Linked DNA regions of Oreochromis niloticus. The protein of the gene in region 2 interacts with the protein of the main gene of each other region in a biochemical or structural test. Links are inferred from orthologs where the notes say so. Each region holds a gene or a part of one and is shown on either strand. Other genes may lie near its edges.

What was found.
Region 1: the proteins of rps6ka1 (region 2) and pard3bb interact in a test that uses a peptide from one of them, tested with the Homo sapiens proteins (2 studies listed by BioGRID and IntAct, with this or other methods). The link is inferred for Oreochromis niloticus from reciprocal best matches to the Homo sapiens genes RPS6KA1 and PARD3B.
Region 3: the proteins of rps6ka1 (region 2) and mast2 interact in a test that uses a peptide from one of them, tested with the Homo sapiens proteins (2 studies listed by BioGRID and IntAct, with this or other methods). The link is inferred for Oreochromis niloticus from reciprocal best matches to the Homo sapiens genes RPS6KA1 and MAST2.
Region 4: the proteins of rps6ka1 (region 2) and arhgef11 interact in a test that uses a peptide from one of them, tested with the Homo sapiens proteins (2 studies listed by BioGRID and IntAct). The link is inferred for Oreochromis niloticus from reciprocal best matches to the Homo sapiens genes RPS6KA1 and ARHGEF11.

The regions. Positions count from the first base shown.
Region 1 is NC_031987.2:2,518,444-2,526,297, forward strand, and holds the start of pard3bb (partitioning defective 3 homolog B), read left to right. Parts: upstream 1-4,511; 5' UTR 4,512-5,522; coding exon 5,523-5,639; intron 5,640-7,854. UniProt on the Homo sapiens protein: Putative adapter protein involved in asymmetrical cell division and cell polarization processes. May play a role in the formation of epithelial tight junctions.
Region 2 is NC_031983.2:14,341,486-14,349,652, reverse strand, and holds the start of rps6ka1 (ribosomal protein S6 kinase alpha-1), read right to left. Parts: upstream 3,218-8,167; 5' UTR 2,816-3,217; coding exon 2,648-2,815; intron 1,500-2,647; coding exon 1,383-1,499; intron 1,208-1,382; coding exon 1,126-1,207; intron 174-1,125; coding exon 93-173; intron 1-92. UniProt on the Homo sapiens protein: Serine/threonine-protein kinase that acts downstream of ERK (MAPK1/ERK2 and MAPK3/ERK1) signaling and mediates mitogenic and stress-induced activation of the transcription factors CREB1, ETV1/ER81 and NR4A1/NUR77, regulates translation through RPS6 and EIF4B phosphorylation, and mediates cellular proliferation, survival, and differentiation by modulating mTOR signaling and repressing pro-apoptotic function of BAD and DAPK1.
Region 3 is NC_031981.2:24,654,127-24,662,405, reverse strand, and holds the start of mast2 (microtubule-associated serine/threonine-protein kinase 2), read right to left. Parts: upstream 3,489-8,279; 5' UTR 3,474-3,488; coding exon 3,351-3,473; intron 1-3,350. UniProt on the Homo sapiens protein: Appears to link the dystrophin/utrophin network with microtubule filaments via the syntrophins. Phosphorylation of DMD or UTRN may modulate their affinities for associated proteins. Functions in a multi-protein complex in spermatid maturation.
Region 4 is NC_031967.2:26,816,034-26,823,953, reverse strand, and holds the start of arhgef11 (rho guanine nucleotide exchange factor 11), read left to right. Parts: upstream 1-4,290; 5' UTR 4,291-6,019; coding exon 6,020-6,054; intron 6,055-6,501; coding exon 6,502-6,534; intron 6,535-7,920. UniProt on the Homo sapiens protein: May play a role in the regulation of RhoA GTPase by guanine nucleotide-binding alpha-12 (GNA12) and alpha-13 (GNA13). Acts as guanine nucleotide exchange factor (GEF) for RhoA GTPase and may act as GTPase-activating protein (GAP) for GNA12 and GNA13.

The DNA.
Region 1 (7,854 bases), on a different chromosome or scaffold from region 2:
TCCCGTATTCTCTTCTGCTCACGAGAGAATAACTCGAGTTCTCACATAACACAACTGAAGCCTGACACGACAGAGCTCATGATGTCTGCAGCGTGAGCCCTGGTAAGAAGTTATATGTGACAGTGGTAGTAAGGAGGGCTGTTGGAAACAAAGCAAATACTATTTGTTGACACTTTAATAACTCTTGAAGGTTAAGTGGATTTCTGTTTTATGTAGGACAACATTAAGCATTGTCTTTTTCTATGGTGTTTTTTTTTTCTTGCTAAATATTGAGCACTGCTCAAACAACAACATCTGTCTGAACACCGCATTGATTTCAGCAGCATTTCCATCAATCCATTTTCATCCATACTGGAGTGAATCCCAGCTCTCACATCCTGGACAGGTAGCCACGCTGTAGAGTTAGGTTTATCATTTGTTGGACAATGACACATTTTTATAGTTTCGTGGGGTTTTAAGAAAAACTTGGCTTGAACTGTCTAGGAATTGAATAAATGAAAGAAAAAAGACAAACAAAATAAACTACAGAGAACAGCAACAACTTTCGGGGTGGCCAAATCAACAATCTAGTACTTTTTTTAAAAAAAATTTTCAATGCACTGGTCAGCTCAGCAACACCAAAGATCCACCAAAAATTCCACAGATGACAGACTTATTTCCATGGTTAAGGGGGGAACAAGCCTTTCACCGTCATGGTTCTGGGTCATTTGACTCAGCATTTGGAGTTTATTGTGTTTTTGTGATTTCTTGTTCACACCGAACGCGATAGACGCGAGCGAAAACGCCCCAAACGCCCCTAATTTGACGTGTGCACATTCGCACCTCAACGCGTGTCCAAGAAAAATCCATCGCGCGTCAAAATTGCATATTTTGACGCGCGTGAACCGGAAATGTGGGAGGAAGTTTTGAGTTATGAGTGTTTTTGTGCTGTTTTTTCTATTGGACGTGATGGTTATCAAAACCAAACATGATAAGTTTGGCAAGCGCAGGAGACACGACACGGAGGAGATTTGTCAATCAGGCTGCAGAATGCAATGCGCATTGTTGAAAGCTGTATGGTGCAATAACAAAAATCAGCGAAATGTGACGGGTGAACAGCGGGACTACTGTATACTGTTTTATTAATAAACAAAATATATTCCTATATGACAACACGCATAAATTAACTGCCTACATTAATTCACTGTAAACCTTGTCCTTCTGACTGACACTCCCCTGCTGCCTCTCCGGGCTGTCCCTGGTCCTCGGGGGGAAGTTCTCCACGGTCCGCACCATATTGCCGCTAGTCTCCCGCGGGGTGAGGAAGGGGTCCAGAAACTCCATGACCGCGAAGAACTTCCATCTCTTCCCCGATCCTGCTGCAGACCCACTCCTCTTCTCCTTCTCTCTCCTCTTCTCCTTATTATGTGTCCCTGAGGCTCTTCCACTTTCTCCTGCAGATGTCCTCTGAATAAACACTTTATCTTGTTAGCGGAAAGGTATTTGTACATCAGTGGGAAAATAGCGGGACAGTATAGGCGTCAGAGCTATGTCACCAGGCTCCTGATTGGTTGTCGCGGCGCGAATTGACGCCGGAGTTCAGATTTTCCAACTCGAGCGGTAGAGGCGAAACACGCGTATGCACAAAATGCAACACAAAAACTCACGCGCGTGGTTTTTTTTCGAGAGTCAAACGCGCCAGACGCGATACACTGACGAGCGTTTCACGAGTTTTGGCATTTTCGCGACGCAAATCTGCTTCCGAATTTTCGCCGGACGTGCAATCACGTGTCATCGCGCTCTTTCCATTGACTTTACATGTAAACCTGACGCTCTGGCCGCCTCTATCGCGTTCGGTGTGAACGCACCGTAAGAGTTGTAATGATTTAGTTTTGTATAATTTAGGACTGAATTTATTTGTTTCCCCGTTACTTAATTACGTCTCTGTGCATATCGCTCCCCCGACCTCTGTGTATCTTAGCTGGGTTGTTGTGTTTCATCTCCCTTTTTCAGTTCACGTTCCTCTCCTTGTGTTTCATTCCTCACTCTCTCCCCCTCCCTCCCCGTCTCGTCTCCCTTAACTGTTTCCATCTTTTCCCTTCTTTGTCTCTTCAGTCCGTATAGTATCCAGGTGCGTTCCTTCCTCCTGGCTCTTGTGTCAAGCTGCGTTTCTTAGTCTGCATCTTTGTGTTTCCTGTTTTACTTTGACAGCCCCGTCTCCGTGTTCAGGATGTTCAGTTTTTCTTCCTCCTGTCTCGTCTCACCTAATTTGTTCCTGCTGTGTTCCCCATGTGTTTCCACTTCCCTTGTCACCCTTCTGTGTATTTATTGTGTGAGTTTCCCCCTTGTTTATTTTTGGGTGGTCTGTGCTTCATGGGTCATGTTCAGGTATTCATGTTTAAGTGTTCCAGTGTTTTAGTTTTCCCAGTGTAGTCCAGTTAGTCTCCTGCTGCCTTTTGTTTTGTATCGCTCTCCAGCCTAAATAAAGACTCTGACATTCACAACCTCTAACTAAGTCAACAGCCACAAGGAGGTAGACTTATTGTTGCCAAAGTCTACAAGCAAGATATGCCTTCATGAATGTAAATACAGAAGGATTACAACAAGCCACAAACCACTGGTTACACTCGAGAACAGAAACATGTAAAAGAGCCTGATAAGATTCAGTGTTCTGAAAAACAAAATGTTTTTGGACAGATGAAACCATAGTTAATTTGAATGAGAATGATGGATGAATTGTGACGTGTGCAGGACTACACTCTGCTCAGATTCAGCCAAATACTGCAAAACTGATCAGATTAGCATCTGCACCAGGACAAACCAAAAGTCTTTAGATTACTTACTGTTCAAACATCCAGTCTAGTTAACTTTATTACCTCTTGCAAGGAGGTTATGTGTGTCATAATATCTGCATACGTGACAGCTCAAAAAGTTTTGAATTAATTCTGATAAAACTTTGTAGGGCTGTAGATTAACAATCCATTAAAATTTTCTTACGTCCACCGAGGTCATCAAGGTCAGCGTACTTAGAAACTATGACTTTTACAAGTGTGGTGTGTGTTATCAACACATATAAAGTGACGTATCAAGATTTACATTATGTCAAAATTGACCTCTGACCTCACCCCAACCGGTTGCAGCAGATGGCCCCGCCCCTCCCTGAGTCTGGTTCTGCCGGAGGTTTCTTCCTGTTAAAAAGGACTTTTTCCTTCCCACTGTCGCCAAAGTGCTTGCTCATAGGGGGTCATATGATTGTTGGGTTTTTCTCTGTATGTATTATTGTAGGGTCTACCTTATAATATAAAGTGCCTTGAGGCGACTGATGTTGTGATTTGGATTCTGTATAAATAAAATTGAATTGAATTGAACTGAATGCTTCAAAGTCAGTAGACTGAAGGTCAAATAATGGTATATAGAGCTATTTAAAACTATGCTTTTTCAGATATCAGTTTAAAATCACTCACTCTTTTATGTCTTTACGAGGTGAGACCCCCACTCATATCATCGAGCTTCTTCACCCTTGCTCTCCAAACTGGATCCTTAGATCCACTGATGGTGGTCTGATGGCTATTCCAGAGACGCCCTTTCCAAACCCTAGCACCAATACTGTGAACCAGTTTACCTCCCACTCTACGCACCATGGACTCTGTGGCTTCTTTTAAAAAACAGTTGAAAACTCAAATATTTATGCAGGCGTTTGGGTAATGTTCTTGTGTAATATGTTGTTTTGTCTGATATGTTTTTATATTACCTGTAAACTACTCTGTCTTAAAAAGTGCTGTATAAATACATTTTACTTACTTACTTCTTACTGCTACTGTTTGTATTGACAACATATAGGCATATAGGGAAAAATACAGTATATATGTGGATTCTAAGTATCACGTTACCTTGAACCTCTGACCTCTCCTTTAAGGTCAAATAAGGTCAAACTTTCATAAATTTTCTTTTATCTTTAAAGCGATGCTAAAAGTCTAATGTGTTTGTTTATACTGCCAACATTCAGGAAATGATAGAGGTATATGGGGATTCTCAATATCACATTGTAGTTTGCATCCAGATATCATGTCGCATTTGACCTTTAACCTCACTTTTACATTTCACAGCTGACTCCAAAGGTGTGTTATGCCTTTAAAGAAAGTATTGTCAAGAGAAAGCGAAGCCGAGTTAGTTAGAAATACACTGTAGGATAACACCATATATAAACTCAAGTGTTTCATGTCCAGTTATTACAAATCAATACCTGTTATCGATTACCTGCTCCTACATAATGTTTGAGTAATCAAAGTAAACATCTGTCATGTAAAAGTAAATACTGCAGAGAGGGAGCTGCCTTAGAGAGGCTTGTGCTCTTGTTGTTATCATTATTGTCAGGGTTCATATAAAAAGCAGTAATATGAGGGACGCCAGCATCAGAGAAAGCAGAAACCTGCGGGTTAGCAGTCTGCTGCTCTAACATCTGGTCTGGTTAACTCGTTAATATAAGTTGACCATCCTAACACTGTAGGCTACAACCGGAATCTGGATCCCTGTGCATTACTCCCAGCTGCAGCATTAACTGGAGCACTTCCCCTTTAAGAAAGTGAACAGCGTGAAGCGGTGGAGGAGCTGGTCAGGAACTGGTCAGGAGCGGTCGGCAGTGAAGGAATCTCAAAACTTTTCCAAAACACAGTTTTACTGCTCCGTTACCTGCTCCAGTACACCCCCAGTTTACCGCCGAATATCACAACTGCGTCCCCGCCTTCTTACCGTGCCTGTCCGGGATGTAGTGGATGCAAGTGACCGCTTGGAAAAAAGGAAAGTTGGGAGAGGGAAAACTTGTGGAATGATGCCCGACCGACTGCATCCCTCCCTCCAAAGTTCAGCTAAGGTTGCTAACGTTAGCTAGCGAAGGAGCCAGCGTCGGCTAGCTGTTATGTGAAAGTTTGGATAAACTTTTCTCTGACTGGTAAAACACGTAGAAACACGGCATCTGTGATAGTGGAGGAAGCGTGTGGAGATCGAAGAGCTGTGACAGACTGAAAGCGTCCACCCCGGGTTTGTTATCATAGCCGGGGCTAGTGCAGCTAGCTGATACACAGCTAACTTTATTACAAGTTAACTAGAGTCGGTTAAGCCGCCGTGAGGCATGACAGGACACACCGCTCAGCTCCATCATGCAAACAGTAACAGTGCAGTACTTTAACGCTTCAGGAAGCTGTGTTCAGACCTGCTGAGTGGTATCCTTAGCTGTGCTTGAGGAGCGACAGCCATGGTTATCTTTGCATGTGAAGGCAGCTGGATGTACTGAGATCACAAAATGACTCTAATGCCTGTGGAGAGTTCTGGAAAGCAGTTTGGGTTTTAGAAATCTAACTTTTATTTGGATGCAGCTTTGTTCAAGCCACCTACAGCCAGTACTGTATTTTTACATTTTTGGTATTTGATGACATCCTTGCCTTCTTGTCAAGTCTTTCCGGGAGGCCTTCCTGCATTGTTATGAACATTGCTCATCATCTGCATCCAGAGGGCTCGGATCTGGGATAAAGTGGAGAGCAGCCATCATGAAGGTGACAGTAACATTTGGGCAGACAGGTGTGGTGGTGCCATGCAAGGAGGGATGGACCGTGAGGGACCTCATCCAGCAAGCCACGCAGAGATACAGAAAACTCCTGGAGCAGGTACTGTGGAGAAGTTTGCAAAGCACCTGTCTGTCTTTACAATTACGCCTGATAGCAGTCTTGGCACGAGAAGTGACTGTTTTATTCAACACTTGCACACATTAAACGCAGCACATCTTTATACTGTGACTGTGGCAAAAATCTTAGCTGCAGAAAAATATGTTTTTGTCAGTGATATCCCATAGAGCGAGCGCTCTGCTTGGGAAAAATGAACAAAAAGCACGAACAAATGCTGCCTTATCTCTCTCCGAGTCCATCTCACCCTTGAGCTGTCAGTTAGCTCCATTATTTATTGTAAGAAGTAGTTCTGTAATAATGTGTTAAGATTTTCATGAACTCGGAGACAGATAAGTTTTTATGAAACAGCACTTTCATAACATTTGAGGTTTTCCCCCTGAAGTCATGAAAGAATAATCGAGAGCTCAGTCATTTTTATATCATGAAAGGACCATATGATTTTCACATCTAAAAGTCTTGGGAAATTAGACAAAGCCATGGAGGTCCAGTTTTCCATAATTGCTGTATAAAAAATTAAAAGCATATCTGATATGAATTGTGATGGTCCAGACAGGAGCAGGCGAGAGTCATTTCCAATTTAGTTGTGAGTGTAAAATGCAAATGACTCCGTCTTGTGATTCCTTTATGACTGCTGTTGATTCCCGGCGCTGCTCTCAGGGCAGGAACCCCATGACCCCCATCACACAACCAAATCTTCTCAGTGACTTGCTTCATATTGGGTCCATTATTCAAAAGGCACAGCAGTCATATGGATGGATCGTCTCAGCTGTGATTGAGGGAGAGATGTCGAAGGTGTGTGTGTGGGTTTATATGAGAGAGTGCTAGAGATGCCGTCCTGTGTTTTTTTTTTTTTTTTTTTTTTTTTTTTTTTTTTTTGCTCCCTGGACCTTTTTTCCTTTTTAATCTGCTTCCACCTGTCCGTATATTACCCCTCACTGCACAACCCTCCTGTGTGTTTTGCCCCCTTCATCATATTTATCATTCTTATCTTTTACACAAGTAAATCTCCTGTTCACCTTGTATATTGCTGTGCACGTAGCTTGAGCCGTCGCGTCCCTTTCGTTTAAACTGTTCTTCCTCATTGAACACTTCCTCCCTCACATGCAGCTCTTCTTTAGAAGATAGCCCCATTCCAGCTAGAACTAGAAGGGTATGGATAGAGGAACTGTCACCATCTTCAGCTCAGAAAATGGAAGCTATGATGATGACTACCTCTAGAAGTAAATGTGTCTGAAGAAAAGATTCATGCGGGTACATGCCTTGAATAAATCAAAGAAAAGGGCCTATTTTCATTTTCACAGTAAAGATCAGTTTACACTGTTTTGACTGTAGTTTGTTTGCTCTTAAGCGTGATGTATGGTACTGTCTCGAATCCCCGCTGTAGCGAGTGATGTTGTTGTGTCTCCATTAGCTCTGCTATCACGAGTCTGATTGAGCCGATCATGCTGGAATTAGAGTCAATAAATCTTAGGCAACAGTTCACTGAAGAACTGACTCTCAAGTCTCCTTTTAGTAGCTCTGACTTTGTTTTAATAATAATACAGTTATTTGCTTTATAAAGGCATCATCCTTGTGGAAGGATGCTGTGTTTCTCAGACCTGACACAGCAGTTGAGGTCTGCTTTGCTGTAGTTACATATCGGGGAAGGTGGACTGCAGGCTACAGCATAGATCTAACGCGGTGCTATGAAGCTAGAGCAGGAACATCTGAGGTGTGCTGAGATGTGAGTGCCTCCCTGCTCTGCTGCTTTGGTCTGTTAGTGTTTAAAGTCTTTGTTTGGTGCATGTGTCAATGAAATTCTTTGCTAAGAACATGCTCACTCTGTGTGTTTTGGCCTGCTCTTCTCTTCTTCCTCTGTTTTCTTTCCCTTTTCCCGCTGTCTCCCACACCTTTGTCAGCAAGTCTCAGTCTCTCCTCCTCTTTCCACCTTCGCGCTGCACTTTGTACTCCTCAAATGGTTTTAGCCATTTTTCCTCTTAATCATTTTCACAGTAATTGTCCTGTTGTTTGTCTTCATTTTTTCAACCCTCCCTTTCAGAACTTTTGACATCAGACTCCAGTTCTGCTTCTTGGGGGGTGTGAATTTGAAGTCTCCTTCTTCTTCCTAAGTATTTTCTCTGTGTGTGTTTTTCTGACTTTCTTGTTGTCACTCAGTCATTTTTCTGCAACACTAATCTCTTGTAGCTGTATAATTATG
Region 2 (8,167 bases):
ACAGTAAATCAAGTCAGTACATCAAATAACATTAATAAGAGGGAAGGGAAGCAAGGGAAGCAGAGTCTTATAAAAGCATCAGGCTGACTCACCATAGTGCAGTTTGACAACAAATGGGTGATTGACGTCTGCCAGGATGTCTCGCTCCATCTTGGTCCTCACACGGTCTCTGACTGAAGGCCAATGATTGAGGGTTAGTGTGGCGTTATAAATCTTGAATGCATACTGTGTCATACTGCATACTGTACATAAGCACAGAGTATGGTAAATGTACTACAACACACCAAATGCTGGTACTGATGAGAGTACAATTCAACTTGGACTCATTAGGCTGCAATAGGAGAGGATCCTCAAATTAAAGCATAGCCAAACTTTTAAATAATGGGGTCAGTGCTGAATGTTAATGATGACCTAAATTTGGGGATTTTGTGCATGCAACTGCGACTCTGAGCACAGTAGATTAACTCAGCTGCTGCTTAAAAACTTCTGTTCACCATGGGCAGCCAATCAGAAGAAAGCTGACTTCAAGCAAAAGGGAAGGAATGTAAAATAGCGATTTTCAGACAGAGGGTGACCTTAGGAGCTGCACCCAGAATAAGGCGAGTAATGATGAATTTGACCTGTGAGTCATGAAAAGCTGTTAAAGAATAAAAACGCGGAGCTTTAAATGAGAGTAAAAGGTCCCCGTTAAATTTGCAAGGCTGCACAGAACCACCCACATGATTTTGGGAGACGATGAGAAGAAATCTGATGCCCCGATGTTTGCAGAAGGTGAGACCACAGCACCTGTTCATAGGAACCCACTGAAAGCAGTGGTGGTCTTACTATGCACACATACCACTGCATGTCATAGCTGTCTTTGTGTTACAGGAAATTCATACACCCTTTTATATGAAACTAAACAACCACTTGAAAAATGAAGTTGCCAAACACGAAGCCTTTTCAAATCAACATTACCGGAAAGGTGAAAGGTGCAGCTCTACAAAAAAAAAAAAAAAAAAACAAAAAAAAACCTCACTCACTTTTCTTTGGGGGTTTTTTTCCTGTCAATGAAGCCAAAAGCCAAAACAGAAAAAAGCAGCAATTAAAATTTCACGACCACATCCAAGCCCGATGCTGCTGTACCTTTTAGTGTGGCCTTCTTAAGGACCTTCATGGCATAGAGCTGGTTGGCATCGGGAGGAGTCACCTTTCGTACCAGGAACACCTGCAAAAGAAATTTTTTTTTTTTTAAATTCCCCCCAAAAACATAACAAACACCAAAAACACTGTTAAGGATGCAACGATTTTTGTAGGTTGGGGAGTAAGAGTAGCAAAGGAGGAAGAGAAAAATAGACATGCAGTCAAAATAGAAAGAAACCGAAAGAGTAAAAGCGAATTACCTTGCCAAAGGATCCCTGTCCCAGGACTTTGAGCAGTTCAAACTGAGAGGCATCAGCTTTCTCTGAGCCTTCCTTGACCACATGGGTGATGTTGATCTCTTTGATGTCTCCATCTTCCTAAAGAGTGAAAAAAAAAAAACGGATGGAGGGAAAGCAGTCAGTGATCACAGAACGACAGCAATGCTGCACAGCTGCAAAAAAACCTCAGAAAATGTCACAAGCCGCTTGCTTATGCAAAGATAACAGTTGTCCTGTGGAGGTGCCTCCTGCTGTAAATAGCATCACATCAATTCAAAACATTTCAAAAAAAGAGGAAGCATGGTAAGAAGTGAGATGTGCATGTGAGCACAAACAATTGCTTATCGATGCGTTTATGTGCTTTTAGCATACTGGAACTGGTGGTGTAAACGTTCAGTGGAAGTAGATCTGTGTAAAAGCAAGTTCACAGCAAGCGCACTCTTACAACTGGGTGGAGCCCAGCTGGCACCGCTCACAGCTCCACCACATGAACACGCGCAGCTGACCTGGTGTCAGCCTCACCCAAAACTCAACAACAACAACGATGCAGAGAAGAGTTTTCCCCTCCCTTGATAATCTTCCTTTAATTTCACACCTCGGGCCCTGTGATGAAGCAAAGTACAGTAGGTACCCTGCTGGGAGAATTTTAGACTCACCAGTGCAGTTTCAGGGGAAAGACTTTTTCCCCACTTCTGCCTATGAAATCCAAATCTCAGGGATCAGAAAGCAGAACATCCGGGCTGTCCTGCTCCTAATTTCTCCTTTATAGGCATGTTCAGGTTTACACTATTACCATGGATCCTGAATAAAGCTACATTTGGTAATTTATTTGAAAAGCAAACAAAAAATAATAAAGTGCAATCAGCTGACCGTTGCATAATCAATATTTCAAAGAAGTGACGAAAGATATATATTTTCAGCAGTCTCTTCTTTCAGCTTTTTAAAAGTTTCTACAAAACAACAGCCACCGCCATCACCACAGACCACTGCAGCCCGGGACTTTATTTGACAACAGGAAACCAGAGTTGGCTGAACACAGCAGGCTTTCAGTTGCACCTTGTTTTCTGAGCAACCACGACAAGAGCGAATACAAAACCTCGTTTGCACTTTGCTGTGCTGATGAATCCCTCTTTTCTCCTCATTTTCTTAAAACTCAGTTTCATTAAGACGATGCCACTGAACGCCCTGTCAACGACTTAACTACTCAAAGTTGATCGAGATGTCAATATCAGGAGGTGTCACTTTACCGTCCAGTGGTTCCGCGGTGGAGGTAAAGTGCCAGTGTCCTTGTCCGTTGCCGCCGTGGGTCTGTAGGTGTTACAGTGAGCAGGGCTGCCAGTCAAGGATTTGTTCTTTTTGAACAGGTAGATGGACAGCATGCGAGTCAGGTTGAACTTTCTCTTGTCCTTCTCCATCTCAGCATTTCCCAGAGTGTTGTATCATCCTACCTTCATCCATAACAAGGTACACACTCTTCTACCTCTCATATAATCATCTCAAATCTCACCTCATCTCACCGAGAGCACACTTTAGGCTCGTTTGTGCTTTCATGTTAGGATTCGTTGTGTGGACTGCAGGTAAATATAGAAAAGTCTCTCAGCCTCTGCCCTTTTGTCGACTGCAGAGGCCTTCTGCTACATTTCTTTCAGTGCTTCATCTTCATGTTCTCTTCCATTCTGTCTCCGGTCCTTGCTCTCTCCCTGCCTCTGTGTCTGTCTGATTAGACCGGTGTGCCTTCGGTGAATGACTGCAGCTGAAATGAACTGGAACCGAAGCGAGCAGGAAGGAAGAGCCTGCTGTATTCTCACAGTCCTGCACCCAACTTCTTGTCACACTCACACACACACACACATGTGTGCGGCTGAAAGAGAGAGAGAGCGAGAGCGAGAGAGAAAAAGAGAGAGAGCAAGCGAGCAACAGGAGTACACTGAAACTCAAAAGACGCACAAAACAGAGAAAGAGATAAAGAAAAAGGAAAAAAGAAAATGCCGATTAAATGCTTTCCTGAATAAATGTGATTAAAATAACCCAACGCTTTATTTGCTTGTATTATCAGTAATTTCACAGACTTAAGAACCCAACTCTGTGCCACTTCCCTTTACCCATAATTCAACACAGAGGCCAGCGTGGAGGAGGATGGCAGAGAGAGGATGATGTGTCCCCTCTCGGTGTCAACACACCAGAGAGGATTCAGACAACTCACTGCCTCTGGATGACAGAGATTTTCCTGTCTGTGGCCAGGCATGTTCCTCTCTTCCCCCTCTTAACAGTCCTGTTCCTGCTCATCCTGTCTCCTAACACAGCTCTCGCTGCTCGAAAAGTGGTCTTGAGATCCTCTTACTTTCCTCCATTGCTCACTTTATTGCTGTTTATACGGCAAATACTTCTTTAACCTGAGAGAATAAGCCATTACGCGCCTGTATATAGAGCATGAGTCAACTCCTCTTGACCAAAGAGCAGCGTTACTTGGCTGGCAGCGAACCTGCACTGCAGCCTGTGCTCAGAAAAGGTTATTTGCTTAACAATTTTGTGATGAGAGAGTACATTTCCCAGAGGGTGGGGAGACGAGAAAAAAAAAGAAAAAGAACATACAATCTGACATGGATGAAGCAGGATGCAGAAGTAATGTTTGTTTAGCGAGGGAGGAGCTGCAGAATGAATCGATTTAAAAGCAACAGTACACAGGTGGTGAGAGCTTACCTGGGCTCTAATAGTGGCATAGTCCCTCTCTATCCAGGAGATATGAGACTCGTTCTAGGAAGTGTTTGAATGGAGCAGTTAACATGAGTTACGTAAAACATGACGGGTTTTGCAACAGGTACATTCGTACCTGTTCATACAGATTTGCTGCAGGTACACCTCATTAACACACAATCACACACACACACAGAAGAGGGTAGAATAGGGCCACATTAGTGACAGGAAACTTCTCTTCCCTCCTACTTCTCACTTCCTCTTTTCTTGAACTGATCTCACATCCTTCCTGCTCGATAACTAGATAACCAACTACACAGGAGAGCTGAGTTTACAAGCATGACAGCTGTTGCAGAGAAGAAGCTGAAATTCAGTGTTATGACTAACTATATATAAAGGTTCTCGTGTTATCTGGAATCTAGAGTACTCAGGAACAGCTGTCTTTTGAAAGTAAGTCACATGGTGTGTGGGAGATTAAAAAAATTAAAAAGAAAAGAGTATTCACACTTCATGGCCTCACACTCATTTTTTGTGGTTTTGCAGATCAGTTTCAGTTTGATTGCATTAATACCATGACTTTGCCAAAACGCAAAGACGGAAAAACAGAGTATCTACCTTTTAAATTTGCTACACCGGTTGAGTGAAAAGGCAGGATCTTCCGTGAAGCAGCATTAAAAATAACATTTTTTATGATTTTTGAGGGTGGAGGAGGTGGAAGATCCTCCATTCACATCCTCCTTTGTTTCCTGTCATTTCACAGCTGGGAAGATGCAAACTCTCACATCCACCCTCACAGAGGAAACCCCTTCATCCACTCCCAAAATATCACACAACACACTCGCGCGCGCGCGCGCGCACACACACACACACACACACACACACGCCAAGCACTCCCTAAAGCTTTCGGCAAGTCCCCAGCACATTCTTCACCCAACCACACTCACACGCAGCTGCCCACTTCACAACAAGCAGAGGTTTATAACATGCACACATGAAATAAAAGCATCTACTTGCCTCTGGGATGCGGTTTTTGGTGCGGAATAAGAACCTCCACATGTCTGTGTCCAGATACTTCCATGTCACTGATGCTGTCACTGGGTGTCAGTGAACCTCTGTGACAGTCACACTTAGACACTTGCTTCTGTGTCAGTTAGCCAACAACTCTGTATGCAATACCGCAACAGATACAACCTTCCTGTATGCTAAGCAAAATGGGAAGTGAAGTTATAAAAAATGCATACGAGCAGGGGACCGATTAGCTGTGGACAGCATAGAAGGAAAAGGCTCAACTCAAGCAGGAAATAGCTCTTTCTCAATGGGAAAATGAATCACAAGTCTATACAACAGCTACAAGGACAGGTTTATGGAGACAATGAGAAGAACTTGAATCTTCTGTGTCATTTTAGGCAAAAAGTGGGGAAACTGACTTCATGCTTTTGCTTCAGTTTGAGATTCAAGATAGCAATCATGCAAGGTTTTCAATTTCCGTTGACACATCATCTGACTAAAAGTCCAACAAAGCCTGAAAAAGGGCAGAGTAAAAGTTTAACAATAAGAGAATCCTACAGTCATGATAATCTTCGGTTGAATCAAAGCTTAAACGAGCTAACACAAATGCTTCTCTGAGTCCGCTTATGCAACATTTGATAACCTTTTCAGACTGCTAGAGAACAGATGCATCGACTGTGAGAGATAGATATGGTGTAATGCCCTTTCATTAACACAAGGGGCCAGTGCAGGTCTGCAGTCGGTCCACTGGTAGGTGTTCCAAAGAAGGATGTCATAAGAAGGAGCTTTAGCCAAGTAAGGGCATGCTCACATTGTTAGCTCATGCCTCATCCAAATCCCAGTGTTGGCTCTGACACCAATTACAGTAAGGGAGACAAAGTGGGACAGAAAGGAAACATGTGGGAGGTGATAGGCTGGAGTGCTGTCCAAACACTGTCCATTCACAGCAGCAGAGGTCACACCAGTTTAAACCCTACAACAGTCACGTCTTGCGTCAAAGCAACGCACCAAAGCTCGAAATGATGGCAAAGTTCAGAGGAGAGAATCATTACAAAAAATAAGACAAGAGGAAGAGACAAGAGGAAAAGAGAAGTCACTGGTCAAATGGTGCTTGAGCCTGGAAGAAGGAGTTAATTTAGGCTGTTGCTCTCTTAGTGTTTGTGTCTTGCACTGTAGCTTCTCCTCCTTCCTGGAAAATGAAGCGCAAGCACCTGTACGTTTTCAACTGCAAGACAGCTCCGACTGCTCGGACAGAGGATGACGAGTGAAAGCGGGAAGGTCCAGAGAGGGAGACAGAGCAGTCTAAACATTCATCTGTAAAAACAAATACCCACACTAGACTTTGCCTGCAAGAGCAAACGCACTCAGAGGAGTAAAAAAAAAAACACACTGCAGCGGTACCCTCACAATGACGAAAGATTCTGAGATTATATAAGAAGACAAAAAGAGACTGTAGGCAGCATGGATCATATTTTTAGGCATTTCTAATAAAAATGCTTTAAGGTTATAAGCAGGAACGGCTACTTTTATTAATGTCTAATAAAAGTCCCTGTACTGAAATGTTGCACCCTCATTTAAATCTGCAGCTGCATAATCAGTTATGATTGAGATTAAATCAACTTTTAATGTATAAAATGTCTAAAAATTGTCAAACACTGGTACTTAAAGCTGAGTAATATGTATGTGAATGTAGAACTAGTTTCATTTAAAACTCATGTCTTAGTAATATTGGCAAATATTCCCATCACTTGCACATGATTAACTAATCATTCAGTTCAAATCTTAGTGTACAACCCTCTATGGGTCATTAATGAGAAGACATTTTTTTGCTCTCGCTTCATCATTTATTGCTTATTTAAGGAGGAAGACTTAAACCATCAGAATTCAAGCCACAATCTAAAATCATGACCACTTAAAACGCCCCTTAAGTGCGACACATACTGTCTGTTCTGACTTTCACCTGGACCCGAATTTTAACCCTCATAAGCAAGTTCCCATGACTTGCAAACAGATATATTGGGTTTCACAAATGATTACACAAAACTCATTTTTCCTTCCACATTTTTCCATAAAAGGGCTCTTGCCTAAGTGCTAAGCAGCACTTTTGTGTTGAAAATGATAAATGATACGAAACGATGACGATGGCTCCCTTTTCATCAAATCCCAACTGTTTTATACTAATTACTGGTTTTCATGCCCATAGCCTTGAAGAGAATTACATATCATTAATAAATGAATTATTAACCACTTTTAAAAGTGGTTTTCTGTTTGTCAACTGTTTCGCACGAAAATTACAGATGTTCAATAGCCTGGCATGTTTTGAGAAAGAAGAAATGCATAAACACTGTTTAAAGTGAGATATTCAGAGCTCTACAGTGTAACTATGCATATGCACTCATGCGGGATTTCAATGCAGGAGGTCTAAAAGAGTTTTGTATCCGACAATCACATCATGAACTCGGGCTAGAAAGTGGCTCTCTGTTTTTAAATCAGCCAAAGTATCTTCCTTCTCCTCTTTAATATCTGAAGGTGGGCACCAAAGAACGGGACTATATTTTGGAGGGCAGGGAAATCATTCAACTAGTTCCTTTCAAAGTCAATTTAACACCTTTGATGGACAGGCTGTTCCTTCAGCACACCTTTTCACATTTTTAAGCCTCTCCGTCTGCTCTCCTTCATTTTGTCCTCTCCCATGTCCCATTTGTACTCTATGACCTCCACCAACACCTGCTAACAGCCGAGACTGACAGGCTGGTACAAAAAAGGGAAGAGGGTGAAGGAAGGTTGGAAAATGGACATTCACCTGACTCCAGTCAAATCCTTAGTCATCCCATCGTGATGCTTTAATACTAGCTGAGCCTGGGGCAGGCACTACCATCATAGGATACCACTGGAGAAAAGACTGGGTTCAACCAAGGAGACTAAACCAAAGGCTTAATGACAACATAAGGTAAATAGCCTTAAACCCTCAACACTTAACATGAATATCTCTGCCTTTGTCCAGCAGAAAGGTGGAGGATCAAGCCTTCATCCACAGTCCAGCACTGAGAAAATCGGTAGGGGAA
Region 3 (8,279 bases), on a different chromosome or scaffold from region 2:
AGACTGGCTTTAGAAGTGGAGACTACGCCTTTATCTGCAGAATGCAGAAGAAAACATGAGGTCTAGAAGAGAAGATCAGAAAAATTCTAAGGAGCAAAAGCATGTTGGGATTTGTAAATGAGGAGATGGATTCGATAAGAGATACGGAAGTTGACTGGTAGCTTAGCCGTCATCATCGCCAAACTCCAGCACGTAAGTGTTAGGGTGACGTGTTTAGGTAAGAACTCTGGCAGCTGAGTTCTGAACATACTACAGTGTGTCCAAGGCTTTGATAAACAGACCAAGCAGGAAAATCTTAAGTACTTCCCACCTGGGCTACTGTAAGTTATCAATGATGGTTTCAGCTGAAGAGTCAGAGAGCATTGGCTAGAGCCTGGACACGTTTAGGTGGCAGTTTTAGAGATGGATTTAATATGTAGTAAAAATTAAGGAGAGTGGAGGAAGCCCAGGATGACACCAAAGTTGTGGAAAAGGTGAGATAGAGGTGCAGATTGGCCACTTTTCCTAGCTGCCACCTGGGAACCACAACCAAAGTTCAGTTTTATTATTGTTCAGTTTGAGAAAATTGGTTGACATCCAGTTTTTGATGTCTACGAAGAAGCTGACGAGAGACAAAGGAAGACCTTACCAAGGTGCTTCTCTGGTTTGTCTGTCACAGATGGAATCGTGTTCTCCCAACTTCAAGCAGATGGTCTGTGACCCTACCTTTCCTCAGGACCAATAATCAAGAACGTGAGGCTGAAGCTCATGCGTGCTTTCCAAGCCCTGGAGGATCCACATTCTTTTGCATACTTTTGATATTTTTTAAATAAGTGTGTCATGTTACTGGGTTTTGTTGGGACCTGTCGCCACTATATCTTGCAACCTGTCTTTATCTGTGCTTGGTCTAATCATAGAAAACTGACCACTTCCACACTTTTGATGATGTGTGACCTTTCTTTGGTATTATCTCTTCCTGAACAGCAGATACATTTTCCTTCTTGGCTTTACTCATCAGGACATCCTGGTTATTGTCATTTTTTCTCTCTCAGAAGAGCAGTGTTACACCAACCTTACGTACTGCCTGAGACCAAATTATTGTTTGTCTGATCAAATATTAAAGCCTACATTTATCACCGCCATTGACATTTTTTCCCCCAGCACTACTCACACCATGTTGGAAAGAGATGGAGTTCCAAAAATATTCATTATAAAAAGGAAAGCTACCATTTTTCCATTTGTTACATTCAATGTTCAATGGCATTTACATTTAACCCTAATCTGAATCTGTTTAAAGGATAAAGGAGAAGTTTGATTACACCTTGCAGATTATATATCTTCAATGATGTAATAATGTCCTGTTTGTTTTAACTGTGGTGACTGTTTGCAGTCACCACAGTTAAAACAAGCATTCTTCTTCCAACTGTCAGTATGCAGGTCCCACATTACAACACTCCAGTGGGTGTTTGTATGTGTTTATCCGCTGTCCCTGGCAACATATTGAAATTCACGCTGAAGTTAGAAAATGACATCCATCCTCTGACTGTATGAAATGTTGGTTATTTTGTGGGGGGTTTTATTGTAAAAAGGACAGTGTGTAAGTGAAGACATCAGTGACGAGTGATCCTCCAGGAGCAACTGTATGATCTGATAATCTGTTTCTCATAAAGTAAGGACGTTAAGCATAAAAAACAGATATTTGTGTGGGTTTTGTTTACAAGACGGCAACTGGCTGTTATTTTTAACATGTAACATGTAGAAATCATCATCAAGCAAAAACAGAAATCCATGCACAGCTCTGACCTCTAGAATGTGCAGCTTTTCTCTGAGGACATCTCTTTGTTTTGTCAGAAGTAAGCTTTTGTCACACATCTTACAGAAACCCCAATTATACATATTTGCAAGAAAATAAGAGCAGCCAACCATGAAGTAATACAGCACATGTTTCACAGCATTCCATAATGTAAGCAAATAGGCAGATAAGTCACTTAACATGAAAACGCCCTGTCTGTTCCTTCATTTTGTTACGGTTCACACAAGAACAAATAAAACTGTGGCAGCACAAAAACATCTGTCTTTCTTCCCATGATACAAATATAAAGCTCACTCCCTCAAACTTCCCCAAAACCAAATCCTTCCCCTGAATCTAAACTGCCTGCAAAGAAGACATTTCCTCTTTTAGGCTGATTTTGGGAAACATTTGGAGCTCCACCAATGACTTCATCTTTGGACAGAGGTTTTCTTATTAGAGGACTATGTTTATAGCTTTTACAAACAAAGACAAATAAAATATAAAACTGCCTTAGTACGGCTCCTGAACACACAAGCTGCAAGTGATTTCGATTCCTAGCAGCATTAAAATAAATTTTTACTGAATTCTATCAGGAATTGCACTGTACAGTATTACCACGCAACCATGAGTTATTACGGACTCAAATATGATGTCCTCTGTAATGGCTTGCCCATATCAATAAAGTCTTAAATATTTTAATTATTGGTTTAGTGAGGTAAAGTAACCACCAAAGGGGGCATGCAACAAATCTGACTGTAAAATTGTGGGTGCAAATCAATATTTACTATAACAGATATGCTGGGCTGATAGCCGGTGCTATGCTTTTCATACTTCTTACTTCAAAAAGTCTTTATGGAAAATGTTGTAAAATCTTTCAGGACTTCACAAAACATTTTGAACATTTAGCCAGTTGAATATTATTAAAATACTCTGACATATGGTACTGCGAAAGCCATCAATACTGGCCTATACCTGTTTTTAAACCAATATACTGATGCATCCCTTCTAAAGAGCATTTTCCACCAACAGCTAATAACTGGTTAAAGTAGACATTTGTGGCAAAGAGTCGCTGATTTTGTGCTTAAGCCTCTTAACCCTCTAAATGTGCAAATGCACAGACTTTCAGACTTTATATATGTAGAATCAATAACTTTATGGGAGGGATGAACCCTCCCCCAATACCACTTATATCAAATAACTGAACTGAAAAAAAAAACCTGAAATAAAATTACCAGCTTGGTCGCACAGCTCAAAGCCCCTCTGACCTCCAGTTCTGATGCATTTTTTCTTAAGCTGCAGGTTTCCCAGGTATCCCAGACTGGCATTAAACTACATGTTGAACAAATTGGGCACTAAATAGATTAGCACAAGGCCAAATAACACCAAGTAATGAGCCCACTATGGATAACTTGGTGTTAGTTGGTGGTGGATTACTTCTATTTATTGATAAATTACAACAAATCCAAAATCCATACTCTTTGACAAAGCGCAGATTAGCTGCTAGAGCACACTTTAGTCTTCTTCAGTACTCCACATTACATGCCTTCATCTGACAAACCAAAGAATGTATACAACCTACCATAGTAGGAAACAGCCAGCATCCACACTGACTGAGCAAAAACTGTGAAGCTCCTGAATTAGGTCCCTTTTCTCCATTAGGGAATGGGTCTTTCAAACATGTAGAGCTGCAGGGACAGAGCATCTCTGTACATGTTTTACTGACAGCGTGTATTTCCTGAGAGGATTAACTGTTCATTAGTAGTATGCTGATGAAACAGACGGACATCATAACTGCTTGTTTATTCTATATTGACTGCTTCATTTTTCACACAACCTCACTGCTGTGTGACTGCATGCTTACAGCCAGTTTTATAACTACTAGCAATACCAACTAATTATGATGGCATATATTAACTCATCTAAGTCAAAACCCATAGTTATTAGGACAGTTCTGGAAAAAGGGTCTACACTGCAGAACTACTAATAAAAATGGTTTTGCATAAAGGTACCGAAAGCAAAGGACAATGCTCTTTAAGTGGTTTCCAGCCATTTCTGTGGGCTCATGAACTCACGAGGGAACAAGGACACGAGACACGTCCTCCTGACATAGCAAGGAGTATCGAAAGGCTTTTACTACTCACCGCATCTTTCTCTTCTCCTCCACTGTCGTGCTGCTCCATACTGCAGAGCTTCCTTTTGTTTTTATTCTCCGTCCTCTTCATACTGACTGTAGAAACAGTCCTCGCGCGCGCCGGATTGCACCACTTCACCCGCTTTCCTGTGCAGTTTCCAGTATCCTCTCGGTAACTTCACTTAGCTGGCTAGCACAACGTGTCAGGTCGGCTGCTGTGGTTTTCAGGGACACCTCAGCGCCAAACTGAAATGCATGGCTTGCTGTTGCAGTTTGTTGACTTGCGATTCCACCTATGAGTTTGCTCCGGCCAGCCATTCCCGACTCAGAGCCCGGCTACACTTCTTGTGCTGACTCCACATCTGGAAAACCCGTTGTGACAAGCTGTCAATCAGCCTTCTTGCACGAGCAGCCACCGGTGTCTTCTTGAAAACAATAAAAAGGCAGTATGTGCTTTTCACAGGGATAGCTTTATATTTCTAGAAAAAATGTATCCGTGCTGCGTTTTTTTTGTGCCGTCTGTGGCAACGGTTCATTCAACCTGATTAAAGCTAGCGTCTTGCCGCTGAAACACTAGCTGAGCGGCTAGTCTGGCTGCCTGATAACGTCTACCTGCCCAGAAAGACCGTGACACCCTGGCAGGTCTACCTTCCCTCTTAACGCTTCCAGATGATTCCCCCAGAGCTCCACGTCTTCCGTCTCTGTCTGGTGACTTCTTAGGCGACATACACCATGTCTCGGGGTTCGCCCATCCTCACATAAAGGCTGATCTCTGCGACCACTGAGTTAACCTCGCTGTTGAACTGCAACGACACGGCACAGCTCAGCTTGTTTCCTGGCTCTGATACGACTGCTGGGGTGTCAGGTTAGCAGGAATACAACATCCGGTCCATTAATACCAAAATAAAAGTATCATTTATTCAATATGAAAAATGCAGGAAAGGACGGGGATCCACATGTAAAAAAGAAAGAAAGAAAACTACCTATCTAACTAACTACTAAATAAATAAATATATAAATAATAAAAATGGAATGAGTATTAAAAATAAATATTAGTGATAACCTCTTTGTCCCTCCCAGAGTGTTCAATCTTTGACCTCTTTGTAGTAATAGAAAAATAAACCAGATGGGGAGTAACATTCACTTACTTTGAAGCGATAATAATAATTATTAAATTATATTTATTAATTTAACCAGGTTAGTCTCACTGAGATCAAAGATCCCAGTGGCACTAACCACTGATCTCTTTTACATAATAATTAAAATAATTTGGGATTTTCCTGATGTGAGTGAAATTTGAACATTGACAGTGCAATGTGATATATCGGTAACTGTCGTGGTAAAAGAAGACAAATGTACTCTACTGCAGTTTCAAAAGAAGAAAATATGTTTCTGTTTATCCTGAAAGCAATATACTGAAGTCAATATATCGTTATATTATGTAAGTATTGCATTATTATTTCATTATATTCAGTCATTTTTCGCAATTTGCGCAAGGGCAAAAGGTTTTATTTTGAAATGCTAATCCCCTTCACACCTCTGGTTTCAAGCTCGTCTACACCCTCCGCTTGCTAGACGATTTCTTGATTTTGAAAAAAAGATGATGACGATTATAAAAAAATCCATGCAGACACATGAAAGAAATTAACTATTTTTTTTCTAAAATTTGAAAGCACACTCACAGACTCAGACACCTTATATTAATTCCTTTATATATACCGACTTGCTTTTGCATCCTCGTAGTGTTGGGGCTGTGAAACAATTCCACGAGGTTTGTTGTTGTCTGCTGCCACCTATTGATTAACAACTAAACTGCTTCCTATGTGTTTTCTGTGTGTATGTTTAATGAGACAGTGAAATAAACAGATTCAGTTTCATATATAGCTGCATATAACATTTACATATTAAACGATCGTATATTCTATTATCTAATAATATGTATAATTAGTGTGTATTTTAGGCGTATGTGTTGTTTAATAAAATCCCTTTTTTTTCCCAAAGAGGGAATTTTCTTGTCACTTTGAGATCCTTGTATTTAAACTACATGACAATAATTTGATAAATTGTGCCATATATATGACTTTGTGCAGTCAGATTTTCTTTTATCCCCACAGTAGCCTTATTCTATCTTTCACTGTTAAATTTCACCAGGTACACCTGTTCAGTGTTTCATTAATGCAAAGATCTAATTAGCCCATCACACGTCAGCAACTCAATCCATTTAGTCCTACAGTCATGGTCAAGACAACTTTCCGAAGTTCAGGTCATGCAGCAGCAGAAGACCGCACCAGGTGTCACTCCTGTGCGGATTAGGATAACACTGACTGGGCTGATGGATCTCAAATTCTGCTGCAGCATACAGATGCTTTCATTTAGTTTATCTGGCATAAACAAAATAAAAGCATGCCAGTATCCATCCTATTTGTACCAGTAGTTTAGACTGGTGGTGTAATGTGGGGGACATTTAATTGGCACAGTGTATGCTCCTTATTACCAAGTAAGCATCATTTACTCTAAATGTCTGAATGAGCATTGTTGCTAACCATATCAATCCCTTTCTGATCATAGTGTACCCATCCTCTGATGGCTGCATTCAGAAGGATAACACACTCAAATAACCTCAAACTGATTTTTAAATATGACAACGAGATCATGATAATTTACCCTTTTTCTTTTTTAATGCTCTGATATTTTGAGAAGCAATATGTGATTTTTGTCTTGAAAGGTGCTTTACTTTACTGACTTTACTATCACTTTCCTCAAATGACCTGCCAAGTCATTGCATTTTAATCCATCAAGACACGTTTGGGGTGTAGTAGAATTGGATATTTGCATTATGGATGTGTAGCTGGCCTGCAAATTTGTCCGCTGCACATTCAGTTGACCACAACTCCATATTATGGTCAGTATAGACAACAAAGTCCAAAGAGTGCACCTTGTTGAATCTAACCCGGTGTAACTAAAGAAATGGCCAGTTGACTCTTTAGTATAAAATGATTCATAAATTTCAAAACATAACAGGAAACAACTCATATTTACTGTGCATCATGTCTTCTTTAATTTAACATGTATGATCACTTTTTAATTTAAGAGTAAAATTTTAATCTTTAATTTTTATGCCTCTGCTTTTATTTTGTATTTGCATTTCCTGCTTTTATAGCTTTCCTTGCTTATTGTTGATCTTATAATCAGCATTTTATATTGTTGATCTAAAAACAGAAAACCTAGTGACACTTGAAAGTATTCCGTAATTTTGTGTAAGTCACATGTATAATCTACTGTTATTCTGTTTTGTTTTTATTTTGAACAGCTTTTGAGCGCTGATTAAACACTGTTTATGAAGTGTACAGTATAAAGAAACCCTTACTGTACTTGCTAGGCTGTGCTTGAGGTGAACAAAATAAAAAACATGTAGTATAACTTAAGAAAACTACAAACATGACAGATATTTTTGTCCCCTTTTATTGGAAAGATCTTCACCACAAAACATTTTAATAAAGAGAACAGGCTTAAAAATACAAATAGCCTTCATCCAAAGACCATTTCATCTCTCTGATGTACATACTACCGTTAATATGCACATATATGAGGGGTGGCTCCTAAAACCACTCTAACACTACTAAAAAACAAACAAACAAAAAAAAACAAGTTTGACCTTTGACCTCTAAGGAAAACAGTCCAAAATTGTTTAATCTCTTTTAAACCCGATTTAACAACATGCAAGTTGTCTACTTTGGTTCATTTTATTGCTTCTTAACTACACTCCTGTAGTATAGTGCTGTTTTATGTGATTTAGATAGCTAAAAATGCCTGGGCCAATAAAAGTGCTTCATACCGATTGTCACATGCATTCATCTAACAGACAATTTGCTTAAATCAGTTCAGTTTTAGAATTAAAACAGTTGACATGGCACTTTAATACTCGAGCTTAAAAACAAAAGCAAAGAAACACAGAGCTATGTATTGCACAGTAACCCCAGAAGTATTAGAGGGCAGTAAAGCCACAGTTCATGCACAAAACAAAACAGGTGACCTACAAAACAGAAAAAAGTCACGAAAACAAACTAAACAATAATAATAATGATAATAATAATAAACACAAGAGGAGCCAATGAAATAAAATAAACTTTGAGTGTCACAAAACCTCTTCAGCTTCCAAAGGAAACGCTTCCAGAGACGTGTTTATTTTTTTAAATATCGCTGTGACAAAACATTAAAACACACAGATACTGACAAATTTAGCTAAAACCAAAAAATAAACAGAAATTTTTTTATTTTTTAAAAAAGAAGATGACAAAGAAGAAAAAATGGGGTTTTTTTTTCTTGTTACAAAAATGAACTGTCATCCTTTCTGACATGTATCTTTTTCACTAAGCT
Region 4 (7,920 bases), on a different chromosome or scaffold from region 2:
CTAAGCGAAAACCTGTAGTGATCCCGTATGTGTCAGGAGTATCGGAGCAGTTGAGACGCACTTTTTTCTCTGTGGCTTTTAAACGCCAAAACACGCTGCGCCAAAAATTAGTCCACCCCAAGGATCAGGTCCCCCGACACAAACAGAGCAACATAGTGTAGTTGATCAGTGGTTGTTGATCAATGGTCATGAGAATTTGCATAATTAAGATTAAGGAACTGACCTCACAGCCCATTGTTCCTTCAGTGGGCTGGTTTCAGTCATTATGCAAATGTACTGTTTATAAGATTGGGGAAACCTGCAGTCAGCTGAGACTGAAGAAGTCACTTGGATGAGTGACGAAACGTTTCTCCCACTGAAAACGCTACGTCCAGATGAACAGAATCAACTTTTGGAGATTGTGGTCTAGACAACCCAAAATGTGATGTCCACATATGTGGAGGTTAAAGAATATAGGACAGATTTACTGAGTGGGGTAAATATTATGTCACATTATTACATAATTACAGGTTGATAACAGTGTTCTTTAATTTATATGCAAAGATGAGGGCTGTTCAGTTCAGTAAAAAGGCACAGCTAAGAACCGTGTGAATTAGTGCTTTAAAAAATCCCAAGACAGGAGCATGAGAGAGATTGATGAATGACTTTTAACAAAAATAATCAAGTGTAAGCTCAGGTTTCACATGTGTTTCTCTCAGGAAACAACAAGGCAGTTCAGGTAAATGAGGGGGGGATAAAGGAAAATCTGTATGCTTTTGACATGAGAAATAACTGTCACTGGGCACTATGTAAAAGGTTCTGAGGATTAGTACTCAGGTTGTGCCCAGTATTTATCCGGAGGAAAGCTTCATTATTACAAACGGAAATCTGTGTGGAACTGCTGACCAGAAAAATACCAAATATTATTGAGCATTACACCTCAAGCTGTCCTGGTTACTATGTTACGGCACCGTATCTGTAAATCACTTAAAAATCGCATTCTAATAATGGCAAATGCAATATTTGTACAGTAATCTGACACCTGCATTTTCACTGACATTTATTTTATTCATTTCAGATTTAGCAGGTGAGTCGCGCACTGTGTGCACACCGCTGAGAAAAGCCCCAGCTCAGTTCATTTCTGCTCGAAATTCCGATTATTATTGAGGCGCATTAAGTGGGGCTCGCCTTTAAACACTCACCGTGAGGACTGCGTGTGTCGCCAAATTCTGCATTCTGCATTTTAGCCAAATCCTCATGTACTTACAAGATAGGTAAAAGTAGATGTTTTTGCAGATTGGGTGAGTAAGGAAATACTCCTTTCCCTATATCATTTTTTTAATACAAAAGAGTGAAACATCTGTTGGATTTCTGGGGTGTGGCGAATTTCACTTGAAGATGAACTCTAGCTCACCCCCGCCCCCATAGGTCCCGTTCAATTGCCATTAACTCCGGTGTCACATATCCTGTTGCACAAAAAGTGACTCATACATAACAGGAAGCAGCTCTGAAGGGCTAACAGCCTGTATCCAGGAAGCAACAGTAGCAACATCGAAGTAGTTTTTCAGACTGAATGGTAATCAGTCCAGAATATAGAATTAGGACTCTTTTCAGGTATATTTTTTAACAGGGCTCAACATCCATAAAGGTTTTGATCCATGCCTTTCCTGTTGTTCCTGTTGAATTCTCTCGGTTTAAACACACTCCATGCATGGTGATCTAAACATAGAGAGATGACTGGTAATATTGCAGCTGCAGCATGGTACTGAGACAACTGAAAATAAGGTGTGGTTGTGCGGTGTAGGTTTTGTGGCCTCTGCCGCTGACAGTAAACCAGGTTTGGGTTTACGCTTTTTGTTTGGTAGTGCGCATACCATGCATACCTCGTTTCTGAACACAACCCAGTCGAGGGGGTAGTGCCATATAAAGCTTAAAAGTTAAAGGGAACCACCCACATCGGTGTGAAATGGGGGCAAAGAAAGTTTCTCTCAAATAACAGGTTATGTTAAATCAAACAGGCTATTGCAGGATTTCTTAACTCTCTTAAGATAATAAAGCTACGAAAGAAATCTGTGCTCGTTTTCATGCAGATACCCTACCAGAGGAGGCGTCTTTACTTCTAAGAGTATGTTCTGCATAACAGACGCGTTTAACAAGCGTTTAACTGAGTAATTAAAAGGTTTTCCATGTCAGATAGCGGACATACCGCGCCTCGGTGCTATGCCTTTGTAATGAGCTCTATTCCAAGAATAGACCGCAATAAACACGAGCTGCTAAGTTTTACTTACAATCTTTCAGAGCAACATATCATTCTGAGGCGGGATCTTACCGATTTCTGAGCCAGGAGTTTTATTTCACAATAATGTTAAAGCTTAAAGTTCCTCGGCGCATCCCCTCCGTTATCCAGCGATATCTGTCTGCGGGCTGTGGGTCCCACGCCCCACACTGCCGTATTTGGTAAAGTGCTAAAACCTCCTCCACGTCCAGCAAAATCGTCACAGTTCCTCTTCTCAGAGATGGCTTACAGCTCACAACATAAAGGAACAAATAAAAAGGTCATTTCTGCCATGTCATGCTCCTCCCCAGAGATGCTTATACGTGCAGTTGTATCGAATAGCTGCTGTATGTGCAATGAAGAATGATCGGGTATGGAAACTCGTTACTGCCACTAAATAAATAAATTAATAAATAAATTAACAGGCAGAGGTAGCTCAAAAGCGTGAGTTATGTCGTAATTTTGGGTTATTGTGTTAAAATGCTCACTTACTGACAGACTATCTCGAAAATTCAAGTTACTCCTGAGTAATTTGATATGTCAAGACTCCTGAGTGGAATTTTACAGACAGGAAGCTGTAAATGAGGCTGGAAAGAATCACATCAAGCATTCAGAAAATCATCACAGGGGCCTCCCAGGGTTGTGTCCTCTCCTCTCTGCTCTTCTCCCTCTAAGCAAACTGCTGCAACTCAAAAGACCCGTCCGGTAAAGTCGTGAAGTTCACAGATGACATGTCATGTCCTCATCGAGGATGGTGGTGAGCGTGCATAAAGATGTGGGGTTGAACGGCACTGCATCTGCTGTAGAATTCTTCAGATTTTGGGATCCGCAGTCTCCCAGGATCTTAAGTGAGGACATACCAGAGGATAGACTTCCTGCATCAGGTTAAAGGTCAGCCTGGCTCAGGAGCTGTTGATCCAGTTCTACTGTGCAATAATCCAGTTTGATCTCTGCTCATCCATTACTGAATGGTTTGGATCAGCCACTTAACAGGATAAAAATGGACTACAACAGACAGTCAAGTTTGCAGAAAAATTCATTGGTGTTGACTTGATTCGGGACTACACTGGAGACCTATCACACGCTGGACGCAAGCTGTTCCAACTGCTCCCCTCTGGTAGGCGCTACAGAGCATAGCATGCCAAAACAACCAGACATCTGTACAGTTTCTTTCCATAGGCCACACTCTGATGAACACTTAGGTCACTCACATATTGTCTACTACTAAAATATCCAGCGTGCCTGCTACTGAACCAAAGCATGCTGTATTGTTTTGTTTCTAACTTAGCTATGTAAAAAACCAGTGTGCACATATACTCAACCAATAAAGGTGATTCTGATTTTGAGTTGAATCAGATTTCTGGTTATTATGTCAACATTTTTATTTCGATTGGCTCAGTATTTAGACTTACTGTCTTGAAATTTCAAGTAACTTCTAAATAAGTCAAAATTTAAAGATACAGTTTTTTTGGACACAATAATCTGACATTTTAATATGATAGCTCAGAATTTTGAGTTATTATGTTAGAAATTGAAGAAACATCTGAGTAACATTTAAAGAGCTTTCTTTTACATAATAACTCAACATTTTGAAATAGTATGTCAAACATTCGAGTTAGTTATCTCAAAATTTCAAGTTACCTAACTCAAAATTTTGAGTTACTAAGTGAGTGGTAATGGTAATTTGGAGTTATTAACTAATTTTGTGATATGAACCCAATACTTTGACTTGCTCATATGAAAAAAAAATCTTCATAGAAAGAAATATAAGAAAATATTTAAAAATATATTTTCCATAATTTTTTAATAAGATGCTATTAATTCTTTATGGAAATATGTTTCATAAAAAATCTGTGGCAAAAACAAGCTGGAGTGTTTGTGACACAGATTGATGGAAAAATAAATATTTATGTCAATGATTTAAAAATATATTTTTATAAAAAAAAAAAAATCTTTCCATGAACGGATGCAATTCCAACTTATCCTGTCTGGTTACAGTCCGGTTGTAGTACGCAACCCTGACCAAACGAGGGCGCTGTTTACGCTCTGTGTGCTCTGTCTACGTCGTGTGATCCTTGAGGATATGGTGGTGGATCAGGAGCCAGTCAAGACAGCAAGATAACAGCACAACATACAGCTCTATGTGAAGGACTTTGACTGGAGAGGAGATAAACATATACCACGACGATTAGGAATTAAATCCGGGTTCTTGTGGCAGATCACGAGAGAAGAGCAGATCCTGCTGTATCCGCTGTGTTTTTGGAAAGGAGACCTGAGGTGGAGCTCTTACTGGAATCGCTTTGCCTTTTGGCTAGCTAGCTAATATGCAACTCTGCGTGTGAATTTGCATGAAAACAAGACTGGTGGATATAACAACCCGGGCCTTGCATGGACTCCAGTTTCCCCTCTTACTGTGATATCCACCTGCTCGCATGCAGCTAAAGTCATGCTGGTCTTTCGTCTTGCAGACATAGCCGGTTAGCAGACTAGCTCGGAGGCTCGGCAGGTGAAAGCCGGGCACGCAGCGCTTCGGTTCGCCGTGAGATATAACGCCATGCCGCAGGTTGAAAGAGGCCGATTCGTCGAGCTGACTTCACCGAGCTAACGCTAGCTGGAATTAGCAGGCCTCTTTACGAACCTGTTATCATCTCCAAGTCAGCTAATTGCTAAAAGCCACAGGTGAAAGGCGAGGAGCACCTTTCGCTTTCTTTCTTTGCTGTGCTTATTTGATTATAAGCTCCAACTGCAGGGTTAGCCAATGCCAAGTAATCTGCTAATTGGCTAGCTCTTTAGTTAGACAGTAGCGTTATTGCAAAGCCATTTGTAGCGACTGGTTTTGTTGTTGTTTACACTGTTAAGAAAAACAGACTGTTTTCTGTAGCTTACAGCTAGCTCGGAGGAGTGATAATGCTGTTTGTAAACGTATATATATTTTTGCTTAACTAATGCATGCTGTTGATACTTGTGTATTGAGTAATTTGCACTAGATAGCCACATACACATCACTACAGATCATATTATATTCACTTTGTGGTGGCTTTCCTATTTTTAAGCATTATCAGCAAGCTGAATGAGCAGTGCTGATTTGAATGGGATTATTTAGGCTGGGATCTCTGCTGAAGCCTCCACATGTAAACAAGTCTGAGTCAAGTGAGTGTCAGGTTCGCATTAGTATTTCTTTTAATTGCACGTAATCAACGAATATCCAGTTAATCCTCTGAATATTATGTTTAGGCAGTTGCTTTAAATCTGACACAGACACTTAAAAAAAACAAAAAACAACAACAAAAAAACCCCAACATGGGATGTTGTTGACCTCCTGGAGCATAGCCAGACATATCAGCCCATTCATTCATGATTGATGACCTTTGTGGAAGTAGGTTGTCCTTTATCCATTTGCCACTACTGCGAAATCTCAGCACCAAGCTACCAACGATCTGTATTTAATTTTAACCACTAATGTAAAGGAGTGAAGACAAACCTTGGGAGATTTGAGCGTTTATAGTTTTAGCAGCACTTTCCTTTAAATCCTACTGAGCCTAAAACTGGAGCCACTGGTGTGAAACATGAAGAGCACTGTGTCTGATCTAAACCCGCAGCCCTGTAGCGTGGAGATCTGATCAAAGCGCAACAGAAAGGCTCCTCATTGTACGGACTGAAAGTTGAAGAGGAAACGGAGATCATGGTGGTGATAACAAAAGCAGCCCAGTGACAGCTTTGAATCCCGCACCAGGAAGCAGAGGAGTGTCTATAAAGGCTGCAGACATGAGTCTCCGCCAACCCACCTCCACGCTGGACAGGTAGGAGCCTCACATCCGCTACACCCAGACAGTTTATGTGGGTAAAGGTACGGCTCTTTACGCCTCGCTCCAAAAAATGTGGTATTCCCAGGTGAGCATTGTTTTTATCTGACGGATGCTCAGTGAGGCCACTGGAAGAACAGCTCAGACGGCTTGTTGACTTCAGAAAAAAAGCAAAAGATTGCACAATAATGTTCATTTATGTCATTCAATCTGCATCTCCTCTAATAAAACACTGGATGTAGTGCACCTGTCTTGTTTGTTAATACCGTTCGTCACCACTTTCACCATATATCCCTGCACTGTGCGATCGTCTGTGTGATGCATATTTGTTGTTTATCATGTGTCTTTCCTCTTTCTCCTGCTGTATACTTTTTTTTCCCCCCCCATTTGCACGTGCCCATTACCTCCCACTGCTGTGTCTCTGTGTGTGTCATGTGACGGCAGGGCAGCCAATAAGACAGACAACCAACTGTTCAGGTAGGACAGCTGCCCTGTGGTCACTCATGTCAGGGTTTGGGGGTTAGTGAAGCCTACAGATTGTACAGCTGTGGCAGCAGATTTCTCAGCGTTTCGCTGCTTGTTGTTTCATTTCTTTGGAGACGTTAGGAACCCAACATACAAGAAAAAAAATTAATAAAAAAAATTTTGTGACCTCGTTACGTGCACCTGCTGGGGTGCATGACCCATACACGAACACTTAATTTTAAGTGATAAAGAAGCTCTTTGAAATCTTTACCTAAAATACTGCAGGTTTGTCAAAGTGGCTTCTGTACCACACTGGAAGTATAGCTCTGTGCTATGCCTATGTCATAACAGCTAACCCTAATGATACCCCTCAATCTAACCTACAGCTCCAATGTTCATGACCCTGGGAATATAACTACATGTCACCATCGACAGGTTTAAATGCTGGCAATGGTGTAGGCTATGTTGTAGGTGCTATGTATGTTAATTGCAGAAGTCTCAATCAAACATCAGAAATTGAGAGGGTTCCTACTCCTAATGTGTCAAGTGTGGAGCGAACTTGAATAACTGGGTAGCTATAAAGCCTTGATTATACTCAGACAGCTGGAGACACCACAGCTGAATATAATTTCTCCTATCCTTATTTGAAGTCCACCATGTGGTGCATGCGCGTAGTAGGTGCATTTAAATGTCCTTCCATCTATCCATCCATCCATCCATCCATCCATCCATCCTCTACTGCTTATATGGGGCCATGTCACAAGGTAGCAGTCTAAGCAGAGAAGCCCATCCACCTCCTCTAGCTCATGTGAGCTAGATGTAATCTGTCCTACCCAGGTGCATCCTCCTGGTTGAGCAATCCTGGAACACCTTACCCAGAAGGAATCCTGTTCAGATACCTGAATCACCTCAGCAACTCCTTTCTTTGTCAAGGTTATGCTGGTAGTGTCTCACAAGGCACGTTGGTCCTGGGTGAGGTACCTTGCCCAGGATAGATGTACCAGAGCTTATCCCAGCCCTGTGACAGCTGGGATAGGGTCCAACCCCCTGGAATTGGAGAAGCAGAAGAGCATGGTTGGAAGGATCTAAACCACTGGGTGAAAATAAAGTGTTTCTAGTGAAACTACTCAGAGTAGGAAAACAAAGCAAAAGGCCTCCAGTAGGACATGAATTGCAGTCTCACAAATCGCAAATCTCGTGATTTATGCCGTCTGCTGCAGACTGTCACAGTTTGTAACGCAAAACTATTCCATCTTGGAGCAAATCCCCACATTGGAGTAGCCAAAACCAGTTTGATTCGAGAATTAAAGTAAGAGATTTCTTTCTTTCAGATTTTTTTGTTTTGTGTTTTGTTTGATCACCTAACCCTTAACTGATCATTTCAGTGCTAATTGCCTA